Pelodiscus sinensis: one gene and its partners. The protein of the gene in region 2 interacts with the protein of the main gene of each other region in a pairwise test. Links are inferred from orthologs where the notes say so. Each region holds a gene or a part of one and is shown on either strand. Other genes may lie near its edges.

Region 1 (7,028 bases), on a different chromosome or scaffold from region 2:
CCTGCTCTCCTGAGCTTCTGAGTCTGGCTGGATATTCAGTTTAAGACATCCTCTGATCGCCCCGCTTCCCCAAGCATATTTTAAAGAGCAAGGAAATCCCAAGTTATGGGGCACCTCTTAGCAGCATCCTCTTGCCCACACAGCAAGTTTCCACCATCAATGACAGACTTCACTTTCATAAGGAGCTTCCTTCTGCTTCCACCTAATGAAGAAACTCGCTGCGCATGAAGCATGTTCATGTCCCATACACACGCCCTTAGGTAACAGAGCTGGTTGAAATTTTTCTTACAAAAAGATTTGCTGTGGTTTTCTGCTTGGTTTTGTTGTTATTGTTTGATACAAGGCTTTGTAAATGATTTTTTGGCAAAATGTTAGATTTTTTTTAATCTTTTGATTTTTTAGATGAAAATCAGAAATACTTAGACTGCTAATTCTTTTTTTTAATTTTCTTTTTTTTAAGGTTTTAGTTTTTCATTTCCCCCTTTTTTCCTCTTTTCTTGTTTTTTTTCTTTTTCCTTCTTTTATTTTTATTTTTTCATTTTTTCTTTTAACCTTTTTCTTCAGAAAAGTTTGAATGCCTATTTTGTTACAATTTTCAAAAATGGGGAAATAATGGAAAAAAGAGGAAAAGAAAAATTGGTCTATTTCAAACCTCACAAAAGGAAAACAATTTCAAAATATTTCACTTTTTTCCCCCCTTTTTCAACAAGCACTGTTCATTCCAACCTCATGCTTCCCCCACAAGCAACACACCCTGCACCTATCCTGTATACATACGCTAATATTGCTGTGGTCATTGGGCAATGGGGCCATTGGGGGACACAGCGGAGTAGAGTGGATGGTGGAGAGTGGGGTCTCAAGGCAGAGTAGGAGTGCAGGACCACAATTTTGTCTCCCCTCCACTCCCCCAGTTCTCGAGATCTTCCCACAGTGGTGCTCCAAAGATGACTAGCTGCACCCTTCCAAAGAGAACTGCGCCACAGCCAGCATTTCTTGCCCCATTTGGGGAGATTTAGCCTCCCAAGCCTCTTGTACCCACTGCCCATGCTATGAAACAAAAAATTAACTCTTGCTGTTAATGTTTCATAATATCACCCACTGGCACAACTTTTCCTGTAATCTTGTGGCATAGCATCATTCCTTGGTCACTTACTTGTGTCAAGTTCTTTAGTCACTATGTCAAATAATTCAAGGCTATGGCCTAGTATGGCTCAGCTAAAATCTTACAGGCCTCATTCAGCCTGTAGTCCTTGTGTTTCAGCCCAGCTTATTTACATACCTAACAGATCATTATCCCTTCTAACTATTGATCAGTCTTATACATCCATCATTTCAATCTAGTGAGCATAGAGTGATTGCATATGACATAGCGTGTTAATTCGCCATCCAATAAATGAACAATAATTTAAAATAATTGGCTACACTGCAAAGTGGCCCCAAGGGACTGAGCTGGGACAGTGAGACATCTGGGGCTCAGCCAGTTGCAGATTGCTCTGTTTCAAGGTCAATATGTTTGTGTGTGTCTGAATACACCAGTGTGTGCATCGCATGTTTGGCTGCTGCCTTTCTGGCCAGCACGGCAGGGATTGAATTCGGAATCTCCCATGTTAAAAAACACAAGCAGCTGCAGCTTGAGCTGAAGAGCCATTGCTACCTTGCTGGCACAACAAACTCACACCCTGTGTGTCCAGGCCTGTGTATGTGTGAGGACACAAACTGAGCTTTGCTTTCAAAAGAGCAGCGTGTTGCTCCTCCTTCAGACACCAAAATTCTTTCTTGATCTGATCCCACCATCTCCTTGAGAGCCTGCTAAGCCAGTTGGACAGAAAGCTGTCACTAGACAAACAGCAGTGACAGCAACGACTCGCATTCCATCTCTCCCCCCACTTCCAACTCAAGATAGGGCGAACGGCAAGGCCTGTCCACAAGCACTCGACTGGGGATTAGGTCAAGCAACAGACACTCGACAGCACTTTCTGGAAAACTTCTCTTCAGGCTTGTGACTGACTGGCCCCAGCTCTTCACAATGCTGCTGACCCCTTCTCCTTGCTTCCTAGGCAGGCGCTTTCCTCACCTCCTCTCCCAAACCAGACTTTCTGCACACCTTGCCTCATTCTTGAAAGAGATGGAGCTTCTATTTGCCTTTCATTCTCCTTTGGGCTGTAGCAAACAGTATCATCATTGCAGCCAAAAGATCATTTAGCTGCTGCTGTAGCTATAGCTGGCAGGGGGCTCTGTGAAGCCACAATCCATGCCAGTAATGCAGGGATCCTTTATGTCCAGTAGAGCAGAGCAGACCAATACATTGAAAGCCAGTCTTTTTCTCTCCAGTACTGCAGAAGAATGAGAGGGTTGCATCAGCCCAGCGGGGCTTGCAACCTGTGCTTCTAGGGAGTGTAAATGCCAGCAGTGAAAGTAACTTAACATTTCTTACAGGCACTGTCTTATTACAAACCGGGTCCCTCACAGCTCTTTAAACAGCTCCCTGCTGGCTTTTGCCATAGCTCAGCCAGCTCTTGCCAGAGCTGCGCACCAGAGCTCACCCATGTATTTTCACCTCTGGAAAATGTTTTATATTTTGTTCTGAAGTGTTAGGCATAACAGCATAAACCTCACTGCCACTGAAAGTGCTCTTTAATCAGGGACACTTTCTTTGATGAAGTGCAGCCTTTGCCTCATTCCTCTAGGGGACTGTTATCCCAAGCAAACACTCCCACCTCACAGGTTCACTGCCCTAATAAGACAAGCAATGGGACACAGGCAAGCAGGTGTGTCTATCTACCCCATGTGTCACAAGAACAGTGATTATATAGAACAGCTAGTTCCTTCTTCACTTGTCCTTATGACAACATAATGTGGTTTTCCTGGCAGCAGTAAGTGGGTATCCACAGAGGTTAAACTACCCAAGTCCAGTATACATGGGGTTCTGTGAAAAACCTGCCCTACATTCTCTAGGAGTGGGGCTTTTTTTTTTTTTTGGTTGTGTAGTAATCCTAGGGACATGCCTGGAGGGGAGGCCCCCACAATGTTAAGAACTTTCAGAATTCTCACTCCTTAAGGCACTTTACAGGTGGGTTACTGGGGATTTTTTTTCTTTTGGTAATTGAACTGGTGCCCATGTATGCACTTTTTGATGTATACAGAGCTCCTGAAAGACTGGGACCCCATCCCCAAGTTTTTTCCCTCTGTTTGTTTTTTAACCTCAATTATGAAGAAGTATAGTCAACTTTACCTGGGGATCCCAGAAATGGAGATCATGAGTTTTCATAGCCCTTCACTGAGTGGGATGGAAGCAGGGGCTGATGAATCTTAAAGATATCCTTTGTCTCGAGTGTTCCCCTGCCCGCTTTTCTTCAGTGAACAAGCTTTCACTCCCTAATCAGTAATGCTACAAAGACTTCCACACACATTTAACTGTGGGTACTTTATACTCCTCCTGTGCAAAATTAAGCCCAAGTGTGATGTCATAATCCTACTCATTCTCTGGTCATTCATAGTCTTCTAGGGTGGGTAAAACCTGAATTTCTCATTTAGAAAACCCACTGAAGGTAAAGAAACCTAATAACTCCACCCAAATGCACCTATCTTTCATGCCTTCTTTATGAAACATGCAGACACAGATCAGAGTGCAAACCCAATTTGGTGGGTTTTCACTTTTGCCCCTCAGCCCCCTTTTTCAGGACAATGAAGGCATTTCTTAAAAACCCTTTCTGACTTTTCCACTCAGAGTATTCTCTTTGGGGATACCAAAATGGAGTCATTAAAATAACAGTCCATCCAGCAGTAATACACACACGTATGTACTTCTGATTCACCTATCCTTTTTAAAGTTCAGAGATCTCCTAGGAGTGAGTCACTTGTCCATCCCAATAGATTATAATAATACATTTTGGTGTGTGTATTTTCAGTACAACCACATTCCAGTACAATCAAAGAGGCACCTTCTGCTCCCATCCCAACCCAGGAACAGGTTTGGCTAGAAACAGGTTCCTCTCATATGTTGCACACCCCACCAATCAAAACCACTTTTCCTAAGCACTCGGGGACCTTTAAAGACAGGCAGAGCTGCAGGGGGGCTTGCTTAGCTTTACAGGTGTGGTTGAGTTTCTGTAGGATAGCAGCACAGCACAGCACAGCAGGTGAGTAAATTGCTGTATTCCTTTTCTCTGGATAGTCAAGCTACTGCTGTGTTACATGAAAAATAAGGAGGCTTTTGTAGTTAATGGCTTATTTTAGTATCTGCAATATAAGTGAGTGGGTGTTTAGTAATTTGATGGGATTAACTATAAGAGCTTATTAAGTATCTTTCTTTTCTGCCTGCAGGCTGCCTGTTCTGTACTGTTCCTTTATTTTACTTCTTAGAGACATGAACATTTAGAAAAAAGTTGTTACATATTGCCAATATATCTCTGAGTGCAGGAATAAAGGTTACAGATAAAGTGTGATCTCTATACTTACTTCTCTTCTGAAAGAAGGAAGGGGGTGTCCTTTTCTGGTTTGGTTCAATAAAGCTAGTAAGGGAGGGAAGAAAACAACTGTTCCCTATTTCTTAGGTTATTATACCTGATAATTGAACAGGCACTCTAGGGTTCTCATAAGCATCCTTTCATAGATAACAATTTCTCTCTAAAAAAGACTTAATTAGTAAGGCACTTGTTTTGGGGGGTCTATTTTATTCCTGTGGTCTGAAATAACTGGCTGGGTATTGTAGTCTTTTTTCTTAAACCTGGGGTGTTTGAGTGCTGTTAAACAAGCTGTTCCATTTCCGAGATGGCAGCATTTCAGTGGTGGGTGAAGTTACCAGAGGAGCTTGTTGAAGGGCAAAGAAAGCAGAGCTGCAAATGAACACTTGTGAAATGCTTTGCTCCTATGTAGTCTTTCATCCACAATGCTTAAAGAATTCGATATGGTGTCTAAAATGACCATAAGTTCATATAGTCTCCCCTTGTCTTAATTTTTTTGAAGCTAACTAAAGATCATCTGGTCATCTGAAGAAGTGGGTTGTGCCTGCGAAAGCGCATGATACCATTTACATGTTTTGTTAGTCTTTAAAGTGATACCAGACTATTTGTTGTTTTTTAAAGTTTATCCTGTACAGACTGACTCAGCTAGCCCCTGAAGCTAAAGATACAATGTTATCAAGTTCCTCGAGGCTTGAATTTTCTACTAAATTAGAAAATGTCATTTTGTCTAATGCAAATCTGTCTCCTCTACTGTCAGTCCTCAATTTCTCTTTAGCAGCTGATCAGAATGAGATTGTAGAGAGACCAGGTAGGTGGGGTAATATCTTTTATTAGATCAACTGCTGTTGGTGAGAGAGACCAGCCTTGACCTTACAGAGAGCTTTTCTTGCTCTGAAGAAGAGCTCTGTGTAAGTATATATCTCTCACAAACCAAAAATTGGTCTAATAAAAGAGACTTCCTCACCCACCTGGTCTCTAATATCCTTGGCCTCACACAGCTACAACACCACTGCATTCAAGAATGAAAGTCTTATTTTGAATGTGTGAGGAAGGCAGAATGCAGTAAACCCTCCACGGTTAAGGGACTTACCCCAACCAAACACTCCTGTCTCCTTCCATGTGAGAAATCTTTGAGACACACCTTGATATTTGGCTGATGTCGTTTATTATTCCTGCATGAGTGAAAACATTTTTTTTTCTAAGGCTGGAAGGGAAATGTTCAGTAATCTGGGCTTTGTTAGTTAGAGAAATAGAAGGTGTGGTCCTTGAACTTTTCAGATGTATCTGGTTAAAGGCAAGTTAGTGCTGGGTGGATGAACCTAACCTTTCTGTTGCTGCAAGATTTGGTTTGTTCAGTTGTGCACGAATGACTCTGAATGCAACAGCTGACGCATTTGGAAACACCTTGGATTGAATGATGGGCAAACCCTATGTGAGCCTGTTCAATAAGACGACTGGATCTGTTGTCTCTAGCCTCTTACTGCATGCATTTCAAAATGTGGTGCACAAACAGCTCCATAAAACTGGGAGGAGATAAATCTGGGAGTAGGTTAGCCTAGTGGCATCTCTGTGCGGAGCACTAATGTTGATTGGCTAAGTGGGAGCATAGGTATAATCCTGACAGACTCCAGGCATTTGCCAGCAGAATCAAACCTGGAACTTCTGAAACTTAGGGCAGGAGCGTCTACACTGCACGAGCCAACAACCAGAAGGAAGTTAGCTAAAGCTTTAGGACAGACTCATTATTCCCTCAGTAAGTGATCTCAGTGCCACTAGATGGGGCAGCACACCACACCCAGAAGGCATGTGGGTTACCACAGAGTGGAGGAGAGAAAATCTATGCACCTCTCTCCTGCCCCCACACTCGAGTGGCAGTGCTTGCTGCAAGATGAAAAACCTCTCTCTTGCAGAAGGCCAGGCTAGACACCCTCTTTTTTCTATCTCTGTTAACATTGGTGCTCAGCCAGTCCCTGGTGTGGGGGTGGAGAACTGCTGACCCACAAATCGGAGAGGAGCAAATCAGCTTTATACGTTAGGTCTGTACGAAACAGAAGGAAAGCCGAGGGCTGGGTTTCCTCTCCCTCAGGGGAAATCCTAGACTCTCGGCGTGCACAGCAATGGGGAAACCTCAGGTTGTCTGTGTCCAACGTGGGCATTCTGTTTAATGAAGACCTAAAAACTACCTTGAGCTGGACTTGCTGGAGCTGCTGCTGCATGAGATGAGGCTGCTTGGCTCTAAAAATGTGCCTTGTGTTTTGGGTGCCTACCAAATGGGCTTAGTTTGCATTTTCCACTTTCCTCACTGGCCTGACAGCTCTAACACACAAGACAACAAGTATAGGCCAAGCCTGTTCCTGGTGCAGCTGATGGGGCACAGAAAGCACAGACCTGCCCATAGATTGCTGAAGAGCAGTGATGCTGCAGCTCCTGAAGTCTGACTAATTTCTCAAGTCCCACACACAATCCTAGCACCCTAAAATTGGAAGGGACCTCGAGAGGTCATCAAGTCCAGTCCCCTGCCCTCATGGCATGACCAAGCACCATCTAGACCATCTTTGACAGGTG
Region 2 (7,132 bases):
GTGACCAATTTCCAGCCTCTTTACAGCAAATCAACCTCAACTATTTGATTGAAATTAAGTAATTCACCCATTCCCAGTTTCTATTTGCCAGAAGCTGGGAATGGGTGACAGGGATTGACTGTTCTATTCATTCCCTCTGGGGCACCTGGCACTGGCCACCATCAGAAGACAGGATACTGGGCTAGATGGACCTTTGGTTTGACCCAGTTGGGCCATTCTTTGGGTCTTAGTCACACATCAGATTCGTATTATCCCTGTGTATTGTCTTCAAAGTTCATGCAATAATTGTAGTTTTATTTCTTCAGAAGGCTGGAATCCTGTTTTGTACAGCAATCTATATAAAATCCTGGGCTGCTTTAATTAATCCTCACAATATCCTATTGGCTCTAGCTCTGTTTGGGGCTATATTAATGTTTTTCTTATTGTCAGTGACAGCACTACTGTAATGTGACGTTTGTGCATGAGATCAGATTGTGCGTGTACATGTCAGAGAGGGAATGCTTGTGAGAGAGAACAAACTCAGGCACCTGGTGCTCCTATCATGTTGTAGCTCTGTAGGCAAAGCTGTATTTCTGGAGTTTTGGTTTCATTATGTGTGCACTTGTGGTTTGGTTCATTATGCTGACACTTCTGCCTGCCACTTGCTGCTCAGATCCACAGGCTACAAAAAGAGTGTGTGAGGATGGAGGGAGCAAAATGGTGCATAAAACTGATGCTTGTGGCACTTTTTGCAAGAGTAACTCTAGGCTGCTGGTGCAATTTGGAACCAGTTCCATTCATCCTATTATAAGTTCTGTCGTCATTGCTAAAGCATCAGAAGTGGGTTTGTTACTCTCCCCTTCCTGTGCTAAACCACTGCGTACTGCAATGATTATTATCCATCTCACAATTTGCTTTAGATCAGAGTAGTGACCCCACTCTATGGTTGCTGGATGCAGTTCTCAAACCAGAGGACCGAGTTGCTCATCCCTCAAAAACTATTTGGGGCTGTTCCTCTGTCACCTGTTTGAAATCCTCACACACACTTAGAATCATAGAATCATAGAACTGGAAGAGACCTCAGAAGGTCATCAAGTCCAGCCCCCTGCTCTAAGCAGGACCAATTCCAACTAAATCAACCCGGCCAGGGCTTTGTCAAGCTGAGACTTAAATACCTCTAGGGATGGAGACTCCACTACTTCCCTAGGTAACCCATTCCAGTGCTTCACCACCCTCCTAATGAAATAGTTTTTCCTAATATGCAGCCTGGACCTCTCCCACCACAACTTGAGACCATTGCTCCTTGTTCTGCCATCTGTCACTACTGAGAACAGCCTCTCTTCATCCTCTTTGGAACCTCCCTTCAGGAAGTTGAAGGCTGCTATCAAATCCCCCCTCACTCTTCGCTTCTGCAGACTAAACAGACCCAAGTCCCTCAGCCTCTCCTCATAAGTCATATGCTCCAGCCCCCTAATCATTTTGGTCGCCCTCCGCTGGACCCTCTCCAATGCGTCCACATCCTTTTTGTAGTGGGGGGCCCAGAACTGGACACAATACTCCAGATGCGGCCTCACCAAAGCCGAATAAAGGGGAATGATGACATCTCTGGGTCTGCTGGCAATGCTCCTCTTAATGCAACCTAATATGCCATTAGCCTTCTTGGCTACAAGGGCACACTGTTGGCTCATATCTAGCTTCTCATCCACTGTAACCCCCAGGTCCTTTTCTGCAGAACTACTACTTAACCGGTTGGTCCCCAGCTTGTAACTATGCTTGGGATTCTTCCGTCCCAAGTGCAGGACTCTACACTTGTCCTTGTTGAACCTCATCAGATTTCTTGTGGCCCAATCCTCCAATTTGTCTAAGTCATTCTGTACCCTATCTCTGCCCTTAAGCGTATCTACCTCTCCCCCCAGCTTAGTGTCATCCGCAAACTTGCTGAGGGTGCAATCCATCCCCTCATCTAGATCATTAATAAAGATATTGAACAAAACCGGTCCTAGAACCGAACCTTGGGGCACTCCGCTAGAAACCGACCGCCATCCTGACGTTGAGCCATTGATCACTACCCGCTGGGCCTGGCCTTCTAACCATCTTTCTATCCATCTTACCGTCCATTTATCCAATCCACAATCCCTTAACTTGCTGGCAAGAATATTGTGGGAGACCGTATCAAAAGCCTTGCTAAAGTCAAGGTATATAACATCCACTGACTTCCCCATGTCCACCGAGCCAGTGGAAGAGTCTCTACAGGTGTGAAATGTATCTGTGAAGAGACAGCAGTGGTTCACGCCTATCTTGTTTGTGCAAGTACAAAGGTCTTGGATGGTTACACATCTCCCATGCCCATGACATGCCTTGGCATCGCATGCTGTCTGTTCTTCCAGGGCTAGGCTGAGAACACAGAGCAATCCCCTCCATGTGGACGAGCTAGGTCCCACAGCCTTTCAGTCACCACTTTACAGTCGCTTTCCATTGAGGTGTGCCCCTGGGAGGTGTAGAAACAGGTGTGACCTCCTGGGGCACAAAGTTATCCATTTTCAGGGGTTATTTGCGGGGGACAGAGGGCATGATTGGACTAGATCATACTAGATCATACCACTTTTTTGGTGGGTGGGGTGGGGAGAATTAATTTTCCAGGGGAAAGCCTTGTGTCACAACAGCACCCCCAGCCTTGCTATTCTTGGCCCACATGGAAAGTTTATTCAGATATGTAGGAGAATTAATCAGGTTTTATTCTATGGGGGGACTTTCATGGCTGGGAGGGACTGCCTGCAGGGTTAAAGGTCATGATGCCACAGCAAACCCATGTTGTACACCCTATGGGCCAAAGTAGAGCACACTGATTTCAATTTTGTGGGGGGGAATTAATCCCCTTTAATTTGGGGAAACCCCTCACTCCGGGATATCCCTGGGCCACAGGTCCCAGTGGCATGGCAGCTCCTTGCCCCACACATCCATTGCCCCCGTAAGCACCCAAACCTCTCTGCCTGCCTCATTCACTTCATGTGCATTTGGGGAATTAATCTACCTAATTTGGGGGGAGACCCTAATTTAAGAAGAGGCCATTCAGGGGATGTGAAGGGTCATTTTGTTGTTGTGACCTCTGATATATCCCTAAATTGCCATTATGATTTCCAACCCGGCAGGTACCCTCAAGCCCTCAAAGGAGACCCCCCCTCCCACAATATGGCTGAAATAAGCATCTTTGGCTACGTCTAGACTGCAAGCCTCTTTCGAAAAAGAGCATCTAGATTACAACCAGTACTTTCGATAAAGCAAGCCGCTTTTTCAAAAGAGAGCACCCAGGCTGTCCGGATGCTCTCTTTCAAGAAAGCACAGTTTGCATTATATAGCACCTGTTTTCAAAAGAGCACTTTTGAAAAAAGGCGATATTCCTCGTAAAACGAGGTTTTCCGCAGTCGAAAAAACTGCTGCATTCTTTTGATTTACTTCCGAAAGAACGCAGCAACACTCTAGACGCAGGGGAAGTTTTTTTTCGAAAAAAGGCCACTTTAAAAAAAAAAAAAAACCAACAAACAAACAAAAAACCCTTGTATTCTAGACACACCCAAAAGGGCCTAGCAAATAGATCCTCCCACATGCGGAGGTTGGATATGTCATTTTGACATTCGGTGCCTCAGTTTCCCCATCTCATGATGCTGGTTGGTGGGAACATGCTAAGAGGGCCCTGGGCACTAGCCTTCAGCCTGAGCATGTTTAGGGGTCCCCCTCTCATGTTTGCAGCCCCCCTTGCCATGCAGTGTTTGTTTCATTGGGGGTGTCACTTTTTTGGGGGGGTTGCCCACGTTGGGGGGGGTGCCCTACCCATGGGGCAGCCTCTCCCCCCCCCTCCTCTACTTAATAACTGTAGAGGGTGATTAGCCTGGTTAATTTGGGGGAATCCCCGCTCCCCCCTCCCCCTCCGTCTATGAAGTCACTGGTGCCATTGACCCGCCCCTCCCCCCGCCGCGCGCGCACAGAAGGGGCTCAAGCCGCGACCGTTGCTGCCGCCCCCAACCGCCGCCCGGCCCCAAGTTTGAATTTTCCCGCCTTTTCAGGGGCCGGGCGGCATCGTTCTGAGGCTCGCGCCAGCCCCTCCCGCCCCTCCCCCCGGGCAGCCCCCAGCGAGCGGGCTGCCCCGGGCGGGGGGAGGAGGTGCCCCGCCCCCCCATGCGAGGAGGGAATTAATGTTGGGGGGCACGCCCCCCCTCAGCGCCCTGCCCCCACACTCACGCCAGTGCCCCACACACCCACTGTCCTTGCCAGCCCCCAAGTCCCCCCATTTTGCCCCCCAGCACTCACACCAGCCCCAGAGAGCCCCGCAGCCCCTTAAGCTCCCAACCCCAAATCCCCCTTCCCCCATACTCATGCCAGCCCCACAGCCCCAACCCCCCCCCTCACCTCCCAACACTCACCCAGAGAGCCCCACGGACCTATTGCCCCCAGAAGTCCCCCAACCACCCCAAATCCCCTCTGGTCCCCCCACATTCATGCCAGCCCCAAAGACCCACTGCCCCTGAAAGCCACTGAACCCCAAATCCCCCCTTGTCCCTGAGCACTCACACCAGCCCCAGAAAGCCCCAAAGACCTGCTCCCCCCCCTGTAAGCTCCAACCCCAAATCTCCCCTGCCCACCACACTCACACCAGCTCCAGAGAGCCCCACAGACCCACTGCCCCCATAAACCACAAAAAAGGTTGGTATCATTAGCCCCTGATGGGGAAACTGAGGCACACAGTGAGGCAGGGACTTGCTCAAGGTCACCAAGCAAGCCAATGGCTGAGTCAGAATAAAACCCATTGATGCTAAGCAAATATGCTCTTCTCCCTAAATACACTCATGTCGGCCAGACATCCCAGGTAATGCCCACAGGTCACCTGGCCCATTGGCTCATCATATCCCATTTCACCCCATTTTTACAGACTTGTGGGGGCTGCCCTGAGCCTGGTACAACTGTCCCCGCTTCTTTCAGCACCACTCCCACACACCCCTCTCAGATAGGCTGTCTACCCTAAATCCATCCCCTCGGGTAGAGAGGGCAGCACCAGCTGACCCCGCAAATAAGCTTTTAATGGGCATGGGGGGGGTGTCTTGACCCCCACATTGCCCTCTGCTCCATGGATGCCCAAGTTGATTAGACAAGACAGATTCCAGTCTAAGCAGGGGAGGGGTTCCCGAGACCTCTTCCAAAAGCGAACAGTTCGGGGCCGAGTGCTGATGGCACTGGGCCAAAGCCAGCTCCTAGAATGATACATGTGGGGGAATCTAAGGGTCTGGCTGTCCTGGTGTAACTACACCAATACAGCTACCCCTGTAGAGTGAGTCCCTCCCTACCCGCTCTAGCCTTTATTCTTGTCTAGTGGAATACGATCGATCAATCAATTTGCTGCAGTTTAATCAGGTGTCCCTTGATTAGTGCTTATGAGGACAGCATTGGGAAGGCTGGTCCCTATGCTACCCCCAGCAGAGAGCTTCCTTTGGGAAGGAGGACAGTGAGCATCATACTGTCTGTTTTATTGCAGGGCTAGCGAATGTGGCAGGAGACATGCTGTCCTCACAGGAGGCCGCTTCCCCCTGGATCTCTGATGAAGCCAGCTTCTGTGGAGATACAGATCAGCCAGCGAACATGCAGACCCTGTCTCACAACCCTGCAGCAGCTGTACAATTGCATATGGTCCAGTCATCAGAGGGTATGTAGCACCAGTTTGGGGTCTGTCTGTCTACTAGGGATGTAAAATCCCATTTAATTGGCTAATCGGTTACACACTATTTAACTGGTTAACCAATTTAAGGGGGGGGCAAGCAAGGTGGGAGCAGCCTCCCCCTTGCTGCAAGCAGAGGCTGCTTCAGCCTGGACAGAGAAGCCCCTGCCTGCATCCCCCCTGCCACAGGCAGAAGCTGCACTAGCTGGGTTGGAGCAGTCTCAGCCAGAGCAGCCCCTGCCTGCAAGGCACCTGGGGGCCTGCCGTGGGGCTGGAGCAGCCCCCTGCCCATAGCAGGTGGGAAGCTGCTCCAGTCCCTACTGGTTAACCCGATAAACTTTTACATGCCTATTATCTACTATATCCCCCCTCCCTTACTGTAGTAGCTAAGCACCATTTGTAATGCTACCTCTATGAGGTAAGTGCTTTGCTGAATAGCTAGCTACATTTCTAAGCCACATGGTTGCAAGTGAAAACACAATCCAAGGGTAAACTGAGCAGCGTGGTCTGCCTAAATCTGCAGTACTAGCTCTGGAGATGAGATCCACGCCATTCCTCCAAATGGCTCTGAATCCTACGGACAACAAATTCACCATCCGTACTTCAGGGGGTGGCCGAGTTAGTCTGTTACAGAAAAAAACAACAAATGGTCTGGTAGCACTTTATAGACTAACAAAACATGTAGATGGTATTCAGGGTGTTCAGAATGCCTAGCCTAGTACTCTGCCTGCTAGACCATGCTGCCTCCCAGGTTAGGCTCTGATTCTGCAGTCAGATCAGTAGAGGAGCCCCAATGGTGCAGACTGGATTTCAGGATTGGGGCCTTTCTGTGAGAGCTTAAGTGTGAAGAAGAAAAGCAAGAAGCACATTTGCTATGTAGCCCATTCACCCACAGCTTCAGGGTGTGGTGTATTGTCCCATCTAGTGGCATCTAGTTGGCTCTGCAGCCTTAGCTAGCAGTCTTAGCTACCACATAGGCTTTTAGCTTATGTGGTAGATGGCTATAATACCTAGAGGCTACGTCTAGACTGGCATGATTTTCCGCAAATGCTTTTAACGGAAAAGTTTTTTCGTTAAAAGCATTTGCGGAAAAGAGCGTCTAGATTGGCACGGACGCTTTTTCGCAAAAGCTTTTTGTGGAAAAGAGTCCGTACCAATCTAGACGCGGTTTTGCGCAAGAAAGCCCCGATGGCCATTTTCGCCATTGGGGCTTTTTTGCGCAAAACAATACCGCGTTGTCTTCACTGGCCCTCTTGCGCAAAAGCATTTGCGCAAGAGGGCTTTTGCCCAAACGGGAGCAGCATAGCATTTCCGCAAGAACACTGACAATCTTACATGAGATCGTCAGTGTTCTTGCAGAAATTCAAGCAGCCAGTGTAGACAGCTGGCAAGCTTTTCCGCAAAAGCAGTTGCTTTTGTGGAAAAACTTGCCAGTCTAGATGCAGCTGG
Region 3 (7,341 bases), on a different chromosome or scaffold from region 2:
GGAGGGACAGGGCTTGCACTGAGGGAGATGGAGAAAGTTAAATATTGGCACACCACTTCTGAAAGGTTACTAACCCCTGTACTAAGGAAACCTTCCTCCTTCCCCCCACAGCACAGGCTATGTCTAGACTGTAGGCTTCTTTCAGAAGAAGCTTTTCTGGAAGAGCTCTTTCAAAAAAAACTTCTTTTAAAAGAGCGCATCCACACAGCAAAAGCACATTGAAAAAGCGATCTGGAGTGGCCACCAGTCAACCTGTGGAACTCCTTGCCCGAGGAGGCTATCAAGGTTAGGACTATAACAGAGTTTAAAAAAAGAGCTAGATAAATTCATGGAGGTTAGGTCCATAAAAGGCTATTAGTCAGGGGGTAAGAAATAGTGCCTCTGGCCTCTGTTTATCAAAGGCTGAAGATGGATGGCAGGAGACAAATCACTTGATCACTGTATTTGGTCCACCCCCTCTGGGGTACCTGACAGGATACTGGGCTAGATGGACCTTTGGTCTGACCCAGTATGACCATTCTTATGTTCTTATAGGGCACTTGTGCTTTTTCCTGGAGGCCTCTTCTTTTGGAAAAAAAACCCTCTACCCCGTCCACACACACCTTTTTCTGAAAGAGCTCTTCCCCAACCACCACTCTGCCTAGAGGACACAGGGACATGCTAATGAGCTAGCACTCACAGCTCCAGCTGTGTGGGGGCACTGAGGCTCGGGGCTTCTGGACCATGGCATATAAACTTGCTGTGGCCTATAAGTTCCCCACCCTGGAGTAAAGCGCAGTCTACATTTAATATTTATACTAGCATAGCAATCTCAGTCCAGAGCGTAGAGAAAAAACATAATTTGGTGACACAGCCGTGCAGGGAAAACTCACAGTGTATATGCTGAGAAGCCTTCTTCTGTTGACATAGCTACAAAGGTAAGTTAATGAAGGGTAGTGGTGTTTTGATGCCTGTAGAATTCATGTTAGTCACATATGGTGAGTCTATCCTAATAGGCTATGCTGCTATAAAAAATGTAGTGTAATTTAAACAAAGCCTATTTTATTACATTCTGAATGATTTCGTCAAAGTAGATCATAACTCATTAGTAGACCGGGTAATCCAATAGGTAATCTATTAGTTCATTCTTGCATTTTATTTACATAACAGTTTTTTTCCTATTTGGACACTGTTTTTTTCTCATTTACCCCCCCCCCCCTCCATGAAAGAGGAAATCACAACCCTCCACAGTAGAAAAAGGACTTAATTGCTGTGACAGCAACATGTTTATAACTTCCCATGCCTCCTTTTACATAATTCTTCCAATGACCAACGTTCTTATTGTAGGAGAAAGAGAGAGCTTGTAGCATGGGCCTGGTGGTAGAACCAAATTAAGTAAAAGTTATACTATGAGTAATAGACGGAGTCAAAAGCAGATGTTTGCCTGCAAGTCAGTATGTGTCAGCACTAACTGCTAGCACTGATAAAAGCACATGAAGTATGTAAATACATTCCACCAGGACAGTAGAAGGACACCCAACTGAGTACATGATAAAATAGTTTGAAACAAGAATAAAAAGCATAACAGCAGATAGTGAACGCTTTGTAGGAAAGTACAAGGGGAGGTACCAAACGTCATTAGTGCATAAGGGGATACATGTAGTGTGTTTCATAGATTGTTCATTTGTCTATAAATATTGGGGTACCTTAATCCTTTGGCTGGCCTAGGGGGCAATGCTGAAATCCATACTATTGACTGAACCAAGACCATTGTCCCAGGTACAAATGTATAGGGGCTCAGAGACCATCTGGCTACCAACACCTATTAATGTACTTCGTTTGTCAATAAACCTGACTTGGGTGCCTTTGTGTTTTATGAGTCTGCCATCTTTGGGGGCTCTTGTGAAGTCTACTATGCTAGCTATCTGCAAAAAGCTGGCATGATATACTAAGGGAGCATACGAAAATGCCTGCAGCTGAACGTTTATCATCACTGATGGAGCAGGAGACCAGTCAGGACGCCACACCAATGAATCCTGAATTTACTGTATCGCTGTCCTGCACAACTGCACTTGTTACCCAACATTTAAAGCAGAGGTCTCGAACTCCTGGCCCACAGGCCATCCCTGGCTGCAGCAATTATGCGATCTGGCCTGAGACTCCAGAGGGAGAGAGCTATCTGTTACCGCTCTGCTTCCCCATGGGTTGTGCAGGGGGAGTGTGAACAGCACTCTTCCCGCTCCCCACCAGTGATTCCTGAAGCAGTGTTCCCCAGGGGACAAGGTGCCTACGTGGAGGAGAGGCAGGGCAATGGCAGGCAGTGTCTTGGGGGATGGCTTCCGGGCTGAACTGTCCAATCTCTCTGGCCATGGCTGGAGGTTTGAAACCCCGGACTTAGAATTATTTTCAAGCCACGCTCTCGACACCTCTAAAATGTTGATGCCAACAGTCGAGCTTGCCTGTCTTCAGGCAGGAAATGAAAGGTTCGACATGAATTTACAAAAAAGTTTTCCTAGTCAATGGCCCTAAAACAGAGCCCACGATCTCAATACTAACATGCTACAGAAACAAAACAAAAAAGGGGGGGGGGCAGCATTTTCAATGTATCTGCTTTCGCTTTCTGGCACCCTGAGGCTGATCGAGCGCAGCTTTACATACGGGTCCCCAGATGACTCGGGCCCCCCCCCCCTGACTGTCCCAGGGTTTGTACCGTTCAGTGGGGGGGGGGGCATGTCCGATGAGCTCAGCGAGGCGGGAGGAAAAGGCTCCCACCCAGGCTCCCCTGAAGCAGCTGGGACGGTATCTCGCTTCTGCGGCCCCCGCCCGGCGCCACTCCCTTCACGCGCCGGCCCCTCCCCCACGCCCGGGCCCCGCTTACCCAGCCCGGCGCGCCTCATCCCTGCGGCGGGGTGGGCAGGGGACCGGCGGCCCCGCCCGCAGCCGCTGAGGAAGCGGCTTTGCCCGTCGGCGGCCGCGGCCAAGCTCCAACTTCCGGGCCCTCGTGAGCCGCCCACCGCCCCAAACGCCACGACATCGCTTCGCCCGCCGCGCGGCCCGCTGGGTAACGCAGTCCCGGCGCTCCGTGTGCGGAGCCTTTTCCGGCCGCGCGGCGCCTCCTGGGTAGTGTAGTTCCAGCGCGCCGGCGCCGCCAGCCCGGGCTGCCATCGTCTCCCGGCCGCGACCCTCAGGGGGGCGGGGCCTGGGATGAGCCCCGCCCCGTCAGCTGGCAACTTGGCCGGCGTCCTTGCCGCGTCCCGCGTGCCCGGGGAGCCCAGCCCTGTGCCCTGGAGTTCGCTGCCTGGCGCCGCCCTTTGCCTTGCCCTCCTGCTCGCACTTAGTCTCTGCGCTCCGCTTCTCCGCCCCCTTTCAGTCTCTTCCCGCTTGCACCTCCCGGGGGTCCCACTCCCGTTCTGTCCCCTCTGCTCTCGGCCTGCCTCCCCACCCTACGCACGCTCGTGCTTCGTGGGGCCTGCCGCAAGCCGGGGCAGAAGAGGTGAGGAGAAACCATCGCACCTTGGGTCAGGAGCTGTCCATAGATTTGCTCCTTTTGTACTTCCCAGAGTCACAGCCTCCGATTCCATGTGTAGAGCCCTGCAGATATCCCCTTTATACCTGCCCATGTGGCTCTAACACAGTGTGCTACTCACTCCATGTGGCCCTTTGAGGTGTAGGCTGCGGCTCCCCAAAGTTCTCCTGGAGCGTGTGGCAACATCTGATTTGCATCACCCTGGGAGGGAGCGGGGCTGAATTAATGCAGGGGCTTAAAGGGCTGCAGCTCAGGGCCCCAAGCTAAGGAGTATCTGGCAAAAGGAACTCCAGGCTGCCAAAGTTCAGATCTTTTTGTGGGCTGGCCCTTAGCCACTAAAGCCAGTGGAGTGAATTGGTAGGCCAGTGTGTGCACCAGATATTTTGTTACTCATGTAAAGGGTGACCTGACCACAAGTATGAAAAATTGTGAAGGTGTGGGGATGATAGATGACACTGTACGACATAGCCTCACGTAGACTATTCACTTTAAAAATAGGACGTCTGGTAGCCCTGCTTGTGTCTCAAAAGAAGGAGCAAGATGTTCTTAAATTTAAAGTTATTTTGAAAATAGAATAAACTTTCATTTATTAAGATGAGTGCTAATTTTTGAATCATGTTCCCTAGATATTTTCTAGGACCTGATCATTTCATATACTAATAGAAAGGCCTTAGTCTTGGTGTTGCAAAAAGATTTCAGGTGCTCCTTGAATCATGGGCACCTTCGCAGGAAGAATACATTCTAAAAACATTGTTTTTCACTGTTCTAAGATGGAGTCATAGTATTGAAAAGATATCCTCTGATCCTAATGGAACGCCTTTTTTGTAAGTGAAAAAGTAGACAGCTGCTCAAAAGGGAAAATTCAAGATCCTACTATTACTGACTCTTTAGCGGTAAGAATAATTCAGATTTCATTTGCAAAGGTAATTCATCCTCTACTATAATCCTTAACCCAGTCTAATGCTCTGTCAAAATTGGGCTTTATCTCTTTTTATTAAGGCTATGATTCACTCTGTATGCCACTAGATTAATTTTATTTCCCAGTATGATAACCCTACTGCTAAAACATATCTGAAGGCTGCAGATTGCTCTTTTTCCAATTCATTTTTCCCACAATCGTCCCAAAAATTCTTTATAAAACTGTCATTTTCTGGACCTAGCTGTCACTGGATTGTGGTACATCAGGGTGCAGATGAAGATTCTAGTCTAAAGCCTAGTTAGAGTTGAAAATACATTAATTTTCATATGAAATGCATTATAAAATTAGTCTAATAAATTGCTAGAAAATATATTCATTAATTATCCATCCAAAGCTTTCTATCTGAATGAATATGAACAAAAAATTAAATCATTTGTTTTAAATATATTCTGAAATTTGTCTAACAAATTTGAGAAATATTATCTAGCTTCAAACATAAGCATATCAGATGTTTTAATTAGGGATGTGAAAGTGTAACCATGTACATGGTTAAGTGATGAGCCAGGGCTCGTTGGTTAACCTGCATGGTTATATGCAGGCTCCTGGTATGCATGGGGTGCCCCTGAGGAACCGCCTCCTCAAACCCCCCCTCACTGCTGCCTCTGTATCACGGGCAGCAGCACGGGGATGGGGGCAGGCGGGAGCTGGTGTGCACAGAGCCAGCTTAAAACTGTCTCCCTGCGTGCACTGGCTCTTGAGAAGCTAACTGCACCTCGCCTCAGTGTGAAACCGTGTAACTGCTGAAAATTTCAGTGGTTACACATTTACTTAATTAAATGCATTTTAACATCCCTAAGTGTGACCTCTTTTGAGGATGAGTGATTTCCTGATACTTGAGTTTAAATAAAATGCTTGTATAAGTTTTATTAATAGATTCTCCTAATGTGAGGCACCTACTAGACAAGAGAGGCTACACTGGATTCTCTAATTTTATAGGGGACTGGCATCCTATGTTGTTTTTATTTATTTTTTGTTTTGCAGTAGTGCTTAGACATCCCCGTCATGAACAAGAACCCTGTTGGGCTAGATACATCACAATTGAATAACCGGTAGGTAGTTCCTGTCCCAAGAAGCTTGCAATTTAGGTATAAAACAGGGCTAGTCAACACGCGGCCTGTTTGCGGCCCACAGTGCGGTTTGGATTTATGCAGGGCTCAACGCGTGACCCTCAGGTGGGAGCAAAACCAAAAAAGTAGTTAATATAATGGTCTTCTGTTGATATGCGTTTTAGCAGTTAAATTCCTGGACTGTCATTGTTCATTAAAAGTGCTGTCATATGGGTGGAAATCGGATAAATATTGCATTTTATTGATATCAGCAGAACTGGCTTAAATGGGGCCTGTGTGTTGTGTAGTCTTGCCTTAATCTTTGTAGTCATGCCCGTCAGTGTGAAAAAAGCTATTTGCATATATTTGCATGCATATGCAATCACATTTAAGTTGCGGCCCCTCGGCATGTGCTGTATCACTGTGGCCCCCAGGGCTTCCAAAGTTGAGTAGCCCTGGTATAAAACAAGACAATACGTGATTACGATACAGACAAATCAGGGAGTATAATTAAACAATATTGGTCAGTATAATAGATGTTGTGTCTTAGCAAACCAGCTGCCATTCTATATACCATGGGTGAGGAACCTTTTTTGAGTCAGGGACCATTGACTCAGAGGAAAATCAGTCGGGGGCCACACACAAGTAAAAAACCCTCACTCTGGCCCCCGACTGAGAAAGAGAAAGATGCTCCCCACGTTCCCCTCACACATAAGAGCCTACTGGGGCCCACCAGAGTAGATTGTGTGCTCCAGCCATGCGGAAGGCAGCAGGGGGGCTGCCCCCCCACACCTGCCCAGCTCACCTGGTTCCACAGGGGCTTGTCTTGTGGCCAGGACAGAAAAACAAGATGACTGCCAGCAAAAAAAGCCTCTTAAAGGGGCCATGATAATTTATTAATTTTTTATTTTCTTTTATTTTTTATTTTTTGTGCTTAACAGCCTGGGTCTCCCCCCTTTTTTTTTTCTCAACAGGATTTTTTTTGGGGGGGGAGGGGTTCGGTATTTTTGGTTAAACTATCTGGCAACCCTAATGGAGGGTGTGTCTAGACTACACCTCTCTGTTGACAGAGAGATGTAGATTAGGCATGTCGAAATTGTTAATGAGGCAGGGATTTAAATATCCTGCGCTTCATTAGCATAAATATGGCTGCCGCTTTTTTCGAAATGGAGCTTTTTCGAAAAAAATGGCAGTCTAGACGTGGATCTGTCAAAAATAAACCCTTTTTCGAAAGAGCCTGTAAACCTCGTTTTTGTGGAATACAGCATCTTTCAAAAAAGGGTTTATTTTCAATAGATCCTCATCTAGATTGCCAGGGTTTTTTTCAAAAAAGCTCTGTTTCGAAAAAAAAGTGTTGGCCATGTTTATGCTAATAAAGCACGGGATATTTAAATTCCTGCCTCATTAGCAATTTCAATGTGTCTAGACGTACCCTGAAGGAGCTACAGAGGAGCAGGCTGGCAGACTGCAGATGTGTAGCATGCATATAACACCAGCAGGATTAGAGAGGCACTGATGGTGGCAGGGGGGAAGAGAGTAAAGAATGGAGGAGAAGGTAAGGTTGGGAGAAAAAAATACATTTTAGCCCTTTCCAGTACAATCTCCCTCCAGCACCAAGAAATTTTCCATAAAACCAAATCTGAAATGCAATAGCATTTACTATTTACTCTATGCATATCTATGCTGCCCATTATTTTAGGTTTCATTCACAACTGTCCAGGAAAACTTATCAGTTCCTTCAGAAAAGGAAATAGTGTTCTCGTACTGCTTTCCCTACTTCCATCCAGATCAGAGGTGCTTATTTGTGAGCA
Region 4 (7,433 bases), on a different chromosome or scaffold from region 2:
CAGGGTGGCTGAATCCAAGGAACTAAGGAAGGCTAAGATGTACGTAGACAAGGCTTTCCGGGACACTGTAGAACCGTCCCACCTTCAATCAGACAGCCTCTGTACTGTCAAGGAGGATGAAAGGCTCAGGGAAGGAGAACAGTCTCCTGGAGCAGAGGGAAATGATCCCATAATTGGGACCCTCCTTCCAGAGGATGTTATGGTATCCTTTCATTCTGAGGATACATCTCCGGGGGAGGGAACTCCAATCATTAGGAAAAGGCAGGTGTTAGTAATGGGAGATTTGATCATTAGAAACATAGATAGCTGGGTTTGTGATGACCGGGAGAACTGTATGGTGACTTGCCTGCCTGGTGTGAAGACTGTGGCCCTCTCAAGACATCTAGATAGACTTATGTGTAATGCTGGGGAGAAGCCGGTGGTTATGGTACATGTAGATACCAATGACATAGGGAAGGGTAGGAGAGAGGTTCTGGAGGACTAATTTAGGCTGCTAGGAAAGAGACTGAAATCCAGGACCTCTATGGAAGCATTCTCTGAAATGCTTCCAGTTCCACACGTAGGGCCAGGTAGGCAGGCAGAGCTTCAGAGTTTCAATGTGTGGGTGAGACAATGGTGTAGAGAGGAGGGGTTTAGATTTAGAAGGAACTGGGGAAATTTTTGGGATGGGGGAGCCTATACAGGAAGGATGGGCTCCACCTATACCAAAATGGAACCAGACGGCCAGCACTTAACATTAAAAAGGTTGTAGAGCAGTTTTTAAACTAAGGGCTGGGGGAAAGCCGACAGGTGTGGGGGAACACCTGGATCGGACAAAAACATCTCTTAGAGGAGGTCTATTAATAGAGATGCTCTGTGTTCTAATCAGGAGGAGAGGATGGAAATATGGGTCATATCAGATGAGACACAATCAAATGAAAAAGAGTCAGGAAATGGCAGACAGATAAATACTGAGACATTTTTAAAGTGCTTATACACAAATAATAACATGAGTGAACTAGAGTGCCTAGTTTTAAAGGAGGATATTGACATAACAGGCATTTCAGAAACTTGGTGGAATGAGGACAATCAGTGGGACACAGTCATACCAGGGTACAAAATATATCAGAAGGCTAGAACAGGTCATGCTGGTGGGGGAGTGGCACTATACATGAAAGAAAATGTAGAATCAAATGAAGTAAAAATCTTAAATGAGACAAAATGTTCCATAGACTCTGTAGGGAGAGTAATTCCATGCTCCAATAATAAGAATATAGCAGTAGGGATTTATTATCGCCCATCTGATCAGGACAGTTGAGGCTATGTCTACACTGGCGCGATCTTGTGCCAGAGCTATACAAATGAGGCTAAGCGTGGAATATCGCCGAGCCTCATTTGCGTATCTAATGAGCCGCCATTTTGCAGAAGAGGCTCTTCCACAAAATGGCGGTTCATTAGATATGCAAATGAGCAGGGCTCGACAAATAATGCAATCTACTAGTCCATGGCGAGTAGATTGCAACCCAGAAGAGCCAGGTTTGGGCAATCTGCGCATGCGCAGATCACCAGATGATGCGGCTGGCGAGCAGGGCTCGCCGCGGTTCGCCAAGCTCTGCAAATGAGGCTCGGCGATATTCCATGCTTAGCCTCATTTGCATAGCTCTGGCGCAAGATCGCACCACTGTAGACATAGCCTGATAGTGACTATGAAATGCTAAGGGAGATTAGAGAAGCTATCAAAATAAAAAAACTCAGTAATAGTGTGGGATTTCAACTATCCCCATATTGACTGGGTACACGTCACTTCAGGACAGGATACAGAGATAAAATTTCTTGATACCTTAAATGACTGCTTCTTGGAGCAGCTGATTTTGGAACCCACAAGGGGAAAGACTATTCTTGATTTAGTCCTAAGTGGAGCACAGGATATGGTTAAAGAGGTAAATATAACTGGACCGCTTGGAAATAGTAGTGACCATAATGTAATAAAATGTAACATTCCTGTGGTGGGAAAAACCCCTCAGCAGCCCAACACTGTGAAATTTAATTTCAGAAAGAGGAACTACACAAAAATGAAAAGGTCCAGTGACAAAAGTAAAATATCTGCAAGCTGCATGGAAACTTTTCAGAGACACCATAATAGAGGCCCAATTTAAATGTATAACCCAAATTTTAAAAAACCAATAAGAGAACCAAAAAAGTACCACCCTGGCCAAGTAAAAGAAGCGGTGACAGATAAAAAGACATCTTTTAAAAAGTGGAAGTAAAATCCTAGTGAGGAAAATAAGGACCATAAACTTTGTCAAATTAAATGTAAAAATATAAGAAGAAAAGCCAAAAAGGAGTTTGAAGAACAGCTAGCCAAAAACTCAAAAAAGTAATAGCAAAATCTTTTTTAATGTACATCAGAAGCAGGAAGCCAGCTAAACACACAGTGGGGCCCTTCGATGATCGAGATGCTAAAGGAGCACTCAAAGATGATAAAGTAATTGCTGAGAAACTAAATGAATTCTTTGCTTCAGTCTTCACAGCTGAGGATATTGGGGAGATTCCCAAACCTGAGCCATTCTTTTTAGGTGACAAATCTGAGGAATTGTCACAGATTGAAGTATTATTAGAGAAGGTTTTGGAACATATTGATAAACTGAACAGTAACAAGTCACTGAGACCAGATGGCATCACCCAAGAGTTCTGAAAAAACCCAAATGGGAAATTGTGGAACTATTAACTGTGGTTTGTAACCTATCCTTTAAATCAGCTTCTGTACCCAATGACTGGAAGATAGCTAATATAATGCCAATATTTAAAAAGGGCTCTAGAAGTGATTCTGGCAATTACAGACCGGTAAGTCTAACGTCAGTACCAGATAAATTAGTTAAAACTATAGTAAAAAATAAAATTGTCAGGCACATAGATGAACATAATTTGTTGGAAAAAAGTCAAAGTGGTTTCTAATAAAGGGAAATCATGTTTTACTATTCTGGTAGTGTTCTTTGAGGGGGGTCAATAAGGGAGAACCAGTGGATATAGTGTACTTAGATTTCCAGAAAGCCTTTGACAAGGTCCCTCACCAAAGGCTCTTAAGCAAAGTACGTTATCATGAGATAAGAGGGAAGATCCTTTCATGGATTGATAACTGGTTAAAAGACAGGAAACAAAGGGTAGGAATAAATGGTAAGTTTTCCCAATGGGAAGAAGTAACTAGTGGGGTCCCCCAAGAGTCTGTCCTGGGACCAATCCTATTCAACTTATTTATAAATGATCTACAGAAAAGAGTAAACAGTGAGGTGGCAAAATTTGCAGATGATACCAAACTGCTCAGGATAGTTAAGACCAAAGCAGACTGTGAAGAGTTTCAAAAAGATCTCACCAAAATAAGTGATTAGGCAACAAAATGGCAAATGAAATGTAATGTTGATAAATGTAATCTAATACACATTGGAAAAAACAATCCCAACAATATGTACAATATGATGGGGACTAATTCAGCTACAACTACTCAAGAGATCTTGGAGTCATTGTGGATAGTTCCCTGAAAACATCCACTCAGTGTGCAATGGCAGTCAAAAAAGCAAATACAATATTAGGAATCATTACAAATCATTACAAAAGGGATAAAGAATATATAAAATTATGATATGCCCACATCTCGAATACTGCATACAGATGTGGTTGCCTCATCTCAAAAAAGTTATATTTGCATTGGAAAAGGTTCAGAAAAGGGCAATAAAAATGATGAGGGGTTTGGAATGGGTCCCATATAGAGAGATTAAAAAGACTTGGACTCTTCAGCTCAGAAAAGAGGAGACTTGGGGGGGGGGGGGAGAGATATGATAGAGGGCTATAAAATAATGACTGGTGTGGAAAAAGTGATTAAGGAAAAGTTATTTACTAATCCCCATAACGTAAGAACTAGGGGTGCCCAAATGAAATTAATAGGCAACAGATTTAAAACAAGAGGAAGTTTTTCTTCACGTGGTGCACAGTGGGCCTGTGGAACTCCTCGCCAGAGGAGCCCAGGACTTGAACAGCATTCAAAAAACCCAGCTAGGTAAATTCATGGAGGGTGGGTCCATCAGCGACTATGGGGGGGATGGTGTCCCGGGCCTGTTTGTCCCGAGGGATGGGGGAGGAGCCCCTGTTGTGCCCCCCCCTCTGGGGAGCTGCTATTGGCCACTCCAGACAGTGGACACGGGGTTGGTCTGACCCCATAGGGCCTCTGTTCGTGTGTTGCTCCGTGGGGGGGGGGGGGGGGTCTGCGCCCTCCACCCGCCGCGGCGGCCGCCGCCATTTCCAAGCAGGGGCTGGCAAGACACCCCTGGCTGGGCCCTGCTCGCTCTGAGGCGCATCCGGGACTCCCCGGGGCGAAGCCGAGGCTGCACCCCGCGCGGGCCACGTGCTGGCCGGCAAGCGCGCGGGGGGTTCCAGGTGCGGGGGGCACGTGCCAACGGCGGGAGCGCGCTTCGCCCCGTCCTGCCGTCAGGCAGCAGCATGGGCAGCCTTTCCGGGCGGAAGTGGCCGGGCCTAGCGGGCGGAAGCGGAAGCGGGTGGCCTGACGTGTCGCGCCGCGCCGCGCCGCGCCATGGAGGCCCTTTACCACCAGACCAACAAGTGAGTGGGGGTCGCGTTGGGGGCGAGGCCGCGCCCGGCCCAGAGCGAGGAGCCGGGCTAGCAGGGCGAGGGAGGTGCCGCGGGCTCCAGCTCCCGCCGCGGTGCCGGGAACGGGCCTTACAGGGGCAGGGGGCGCTGCACGCGCGTGAGGGCCCGAGCCCTGGGGCGCTACAGCCGGGAATTGGCGGCCTGGCCCCGCTCCTGCCGCGGCGAGGGGGGGGCATTATTGGCCGTGACGGTCCTGGCTTGGCCCCTGTCCCTGAGCGCCGAGTCCCGGCGAGGTCGATTAATCCGACCCCAGAGCCCCATTTCCTGCACCCCGGACTCCGCCACGCCCCAGCCCTCTGGCTTGAGCCACCCACACGCCACACTTAAATTTCTTATAGCTACTGTTGTATTGCAACATTTCCCCCCTTCCCTCCTCCCTGCCCGGAGCTGCCTCCTAAGGGTGGAGGGCATGTTGTGATAGGTACCTGTAAGAAAGGTAAGGTTATTTTCACCTCTGGATACAATTCACTTCCTCAGATGCTGAAGAGAAAAGAAAAAGGAAGGGATACAGAGATGGCAGTGTAGTGTTAGCCTACTTCTTTCAGGGTAAATATGTTGCCCACCACCACACTTACAGGATGCAGCGTTTCTGCTGAAATGCTGTAGTGATTCTTTGTGAGGGTTGTTGTTTATGGCATAAGGGGTGTCAGCATGACGACTCTGGAAAGTTTAAAAAAAAAAAGATGGGGTGTGTGCATGCTTGTGCGCACAACCAATAGCTTGTCTTGGAATTGGCACAAATAAGAAAATATAAGAGGAAGGGGACCACACAGGAATTGCCTGAAGTTTCTGTAGTAGTGCAATAGAGACTAGCATCGCATGCTTAAGAGGAGGGTGCAAGAAACCTTGCAGAATGCTAATTTGCTACCTATGGAATTGTTTTTCATATCAATAAATTGGCTAGAATAATAATTTAATCATAATGTTAGGAATTAAATAGTTTTATAGTAGTTTCATTTTCTCTTTGTAAATCCATATCTATCTTGTTTGTTTATTGCATTCCTTTTGGAAATGGTGGCAAGGGTAGATAAGGAAAATTTATTTTAATCTTGTATATCCTCTTTCCCTTATCAACAAGCATCCATGTCTATGAAATACTCTGAGCTAATTACAGTATTTTCTGATACTTTGTCGCACCACATTGTAAGCACTTTAAAGGCAAGGACAGTGTCCACTTACATATTTGTGCAGCATCTAGCACAAAGCAACTTCTTTCCCAACATGGACCTTTGGATGATACTATAATATATGAGTGTGTATCAAGATTTATGGAGGATGGGAGGATCCCAAAGGACATCCTCTACGGGGAACTGGCATCTGGAAAGAGAACCACAGGGCGCCCGAACCTGCGATTTAAAGATGTCGTGAAGAGGGACATGAAAGCCATCGACATAAACACGCAGTCCTGGGAAGACCTCGCAGCAGACCACCCAAAGTGGAGGGGCACCCTGACCACACAGCTCAAGTCAGGCGAAACGAACGTGATGCGTGCATCAGAAGAAAAGCGAGCCCGCAGGAAGTTACGCAACAACAACAGCCAGGGAACCACCTATAGCTGCGACTTCTGCGGCAAAGAATGCCTGTCCCGGATTGGCCTTTTCAGCCACCAACGACGCTGTCCCCGACTCTGTCCCAGACAATTCGACACGAACCAAGACGAGAACTAGCATACGTCATCCATGGTCAACTGACCGACGGAGGCCAAAAAAAAAAATCAAGATTTTAGTGTTGAAAAGCACTAGTTAATACAGGCAGTCCCCGAGTTACGCGGATCCGACTTATGTCGGATCCGCAGTTACGAACGGGGCACTTCCTCTCCCTGGTCTCGAGCAGACCAGGGAGAGGAAGCAAAGCGGCGGCGGAACGCGCGGCCAGCTGACAGCCCAGACGCGTCTGGGCTGTCAGCTGGCCGCGCGCTCCGCTCTGCTCTCCCCCCCCCCCCCCCGTCTGCAGACCAGGGGGAGGGGGAGCAGAGCGGAGCACGCGGCCAGCTGACAGCCCAGACACTTCTGGGCTGTCAGCTGGCCGCGCATTCCGCTGCTCTGCTGTGCTCCGCTCTGCTCCCCCTCCCCCTCCCCCTCCCCCTGATCTGCAGGGGGGGGGGGGAGCAGAGCGGAGCACAGCAGAGCAGCGGAATGCGCGGCCAGCTGACAGCCCAGATGCGTCTGGGCTGTCAGCTGGCCGCGCGTTCTGCCGCTCTGCTCTGCTCCGCTCTGCTCCCCCTCCCCCTGGTCTGCAAACCATGGGGGGGGGGGGGAAAGCAGAGCGGAGCACGCGGCCAGCTGACAGCCCAGACGCGTCTGGGCTGTCAGCTGGCCGCGCGTTCCGCCGCTCTGCTCTACTCTGCTCCCCCTCCCCCTGGTCTGCAGACCTGGGGGACGGGGAGCAGAGCAGAGCAAAGCCGCGGAGCCCGAGGGCAGCAGGATAGCCACGGCGCGTCTGGGCTGTCCCGCTGCCCGCGTGTTCCGCCGCTTTGCTCCCCGTCCCCCTGGTCTGCAGACCAGGGGGACGGGGAGCAAAGCAGAGCAAAGCCATGGAGCCCGAGGGCAGCAGGATAGCCACGGCGCGTCTGGGCTGTCCCACTGCCCCCGTGCTCCGCGGCTTTGCTCCGGACGCCTGTGGTACAGCAGCTGGGGCGCTGCCGGTTGGTCCCGTAGCGCCGCTCTGGGTGCCACTGGACCAACCCAGCAGCACCCCAGCTGCTCTGCCCCAGGTGTCCCCTAGTCAGCAGCTGCTGAAAATGACCAGTGGCTGACTACAGGAAGCCCCTGCCCCGGGCTTCCTGGAATCAGCCG

The links.
Region 1: the proteins of KASH5 (region 2) and UPK1B interact in binary tests that used the Homo sapiens proteins (3 or more experiments, as listed by UniProt). The two-hybrid records come from large-scale screens. The link is inferred for Pelodiscus sinensis from reciprocal best matches to the Homo sapiens genes KASH5 and UPK1B.
Region 3: the proteins of KASH5 (region 2) and BET1 interact in binary tests that used the Homo sapiens proteins (3 or more experiments, as listed by UniProt). The two-hybrid records come from large-scale screens. The link is inferred for Pelodiscus sinensis from reciprocal best matches to the Homo sapiens genes KASH5 and BET1.
Region 4: the proteins of KASH5 (region 2) and GOSR2 interact in binary tests that used the Homo sapiens proteins (3 or more experiments, as listed by UniProt). The two-hybrid records come from large-scale screens. The link is inferred for Pelodiscus sinensis from reciprocal best matches to the Homo sapiens genes KASH5 and GOSR2.

The regions. Positions count from the first base shown.
Region 1 is NC_134711.1:144,295,452-144,302,479, reverse strand, and holds the start of UPK1B (uroplakin-1b), read left to right. Parts: upstream 1-4,004; 5' UTR 4,005-4,139; intron 4,140-7,028. UniProt on the Homo sapiens protein: Component of the asymmetric unit membrane (AUM); a highly specialized biomembrane elaborated by terminally differentiated urothelial cells.
Region 2 is NW_027465974.1:153,142-160,273, reverse strand, and holds the start of KASH5 (protein KASH5), read left to right. Parts: upstream 1-4,113; 5' UTR 4,114-4,677; intron 4,678-5,503; 5' UTR 5,504-5,526; coding exon 5,527-5,671; intron 5,672-7,132. UniProt on the Homo sapiens protein: As a component of the LINC (LInker of Nucleoskeleton and Cytoskeleton) complex, involved in the connection between the nuclear lamina and the cytoskeleton.
Region 3 is NC_134712.1:212,343,309-212,350,649, reverse strand, and holds the start of BET1 (BET1 homolog), read right to left. Parts: upstream 3,015-7,341; 5' UTR 2,877-3,014; coding exon 2,858-2,876; intron 1-2,857. UniProt on the Homo sapiens protein: Required for vesicular transport from the ER to the Golgi complex. Functions as a SNARE involved in the docking process of ER-derived vesicles with the cis-Golgi membrane.
Region 4 is NC_134739.1:2,714,777-2,722,209, forward strand, and holds the start of GOSR2 (Golgi SNAP receptor complex member 2), read left to right. Parts: upstream 1-4,432; 5' UTR 4,433-4,561; coding exon 4,562-4,590; intron 4,591-7,433. UniProt on the Homo sapiens protein: Involved in transport of proteins from the cis/medial-Golgi to the trans-Golgi network.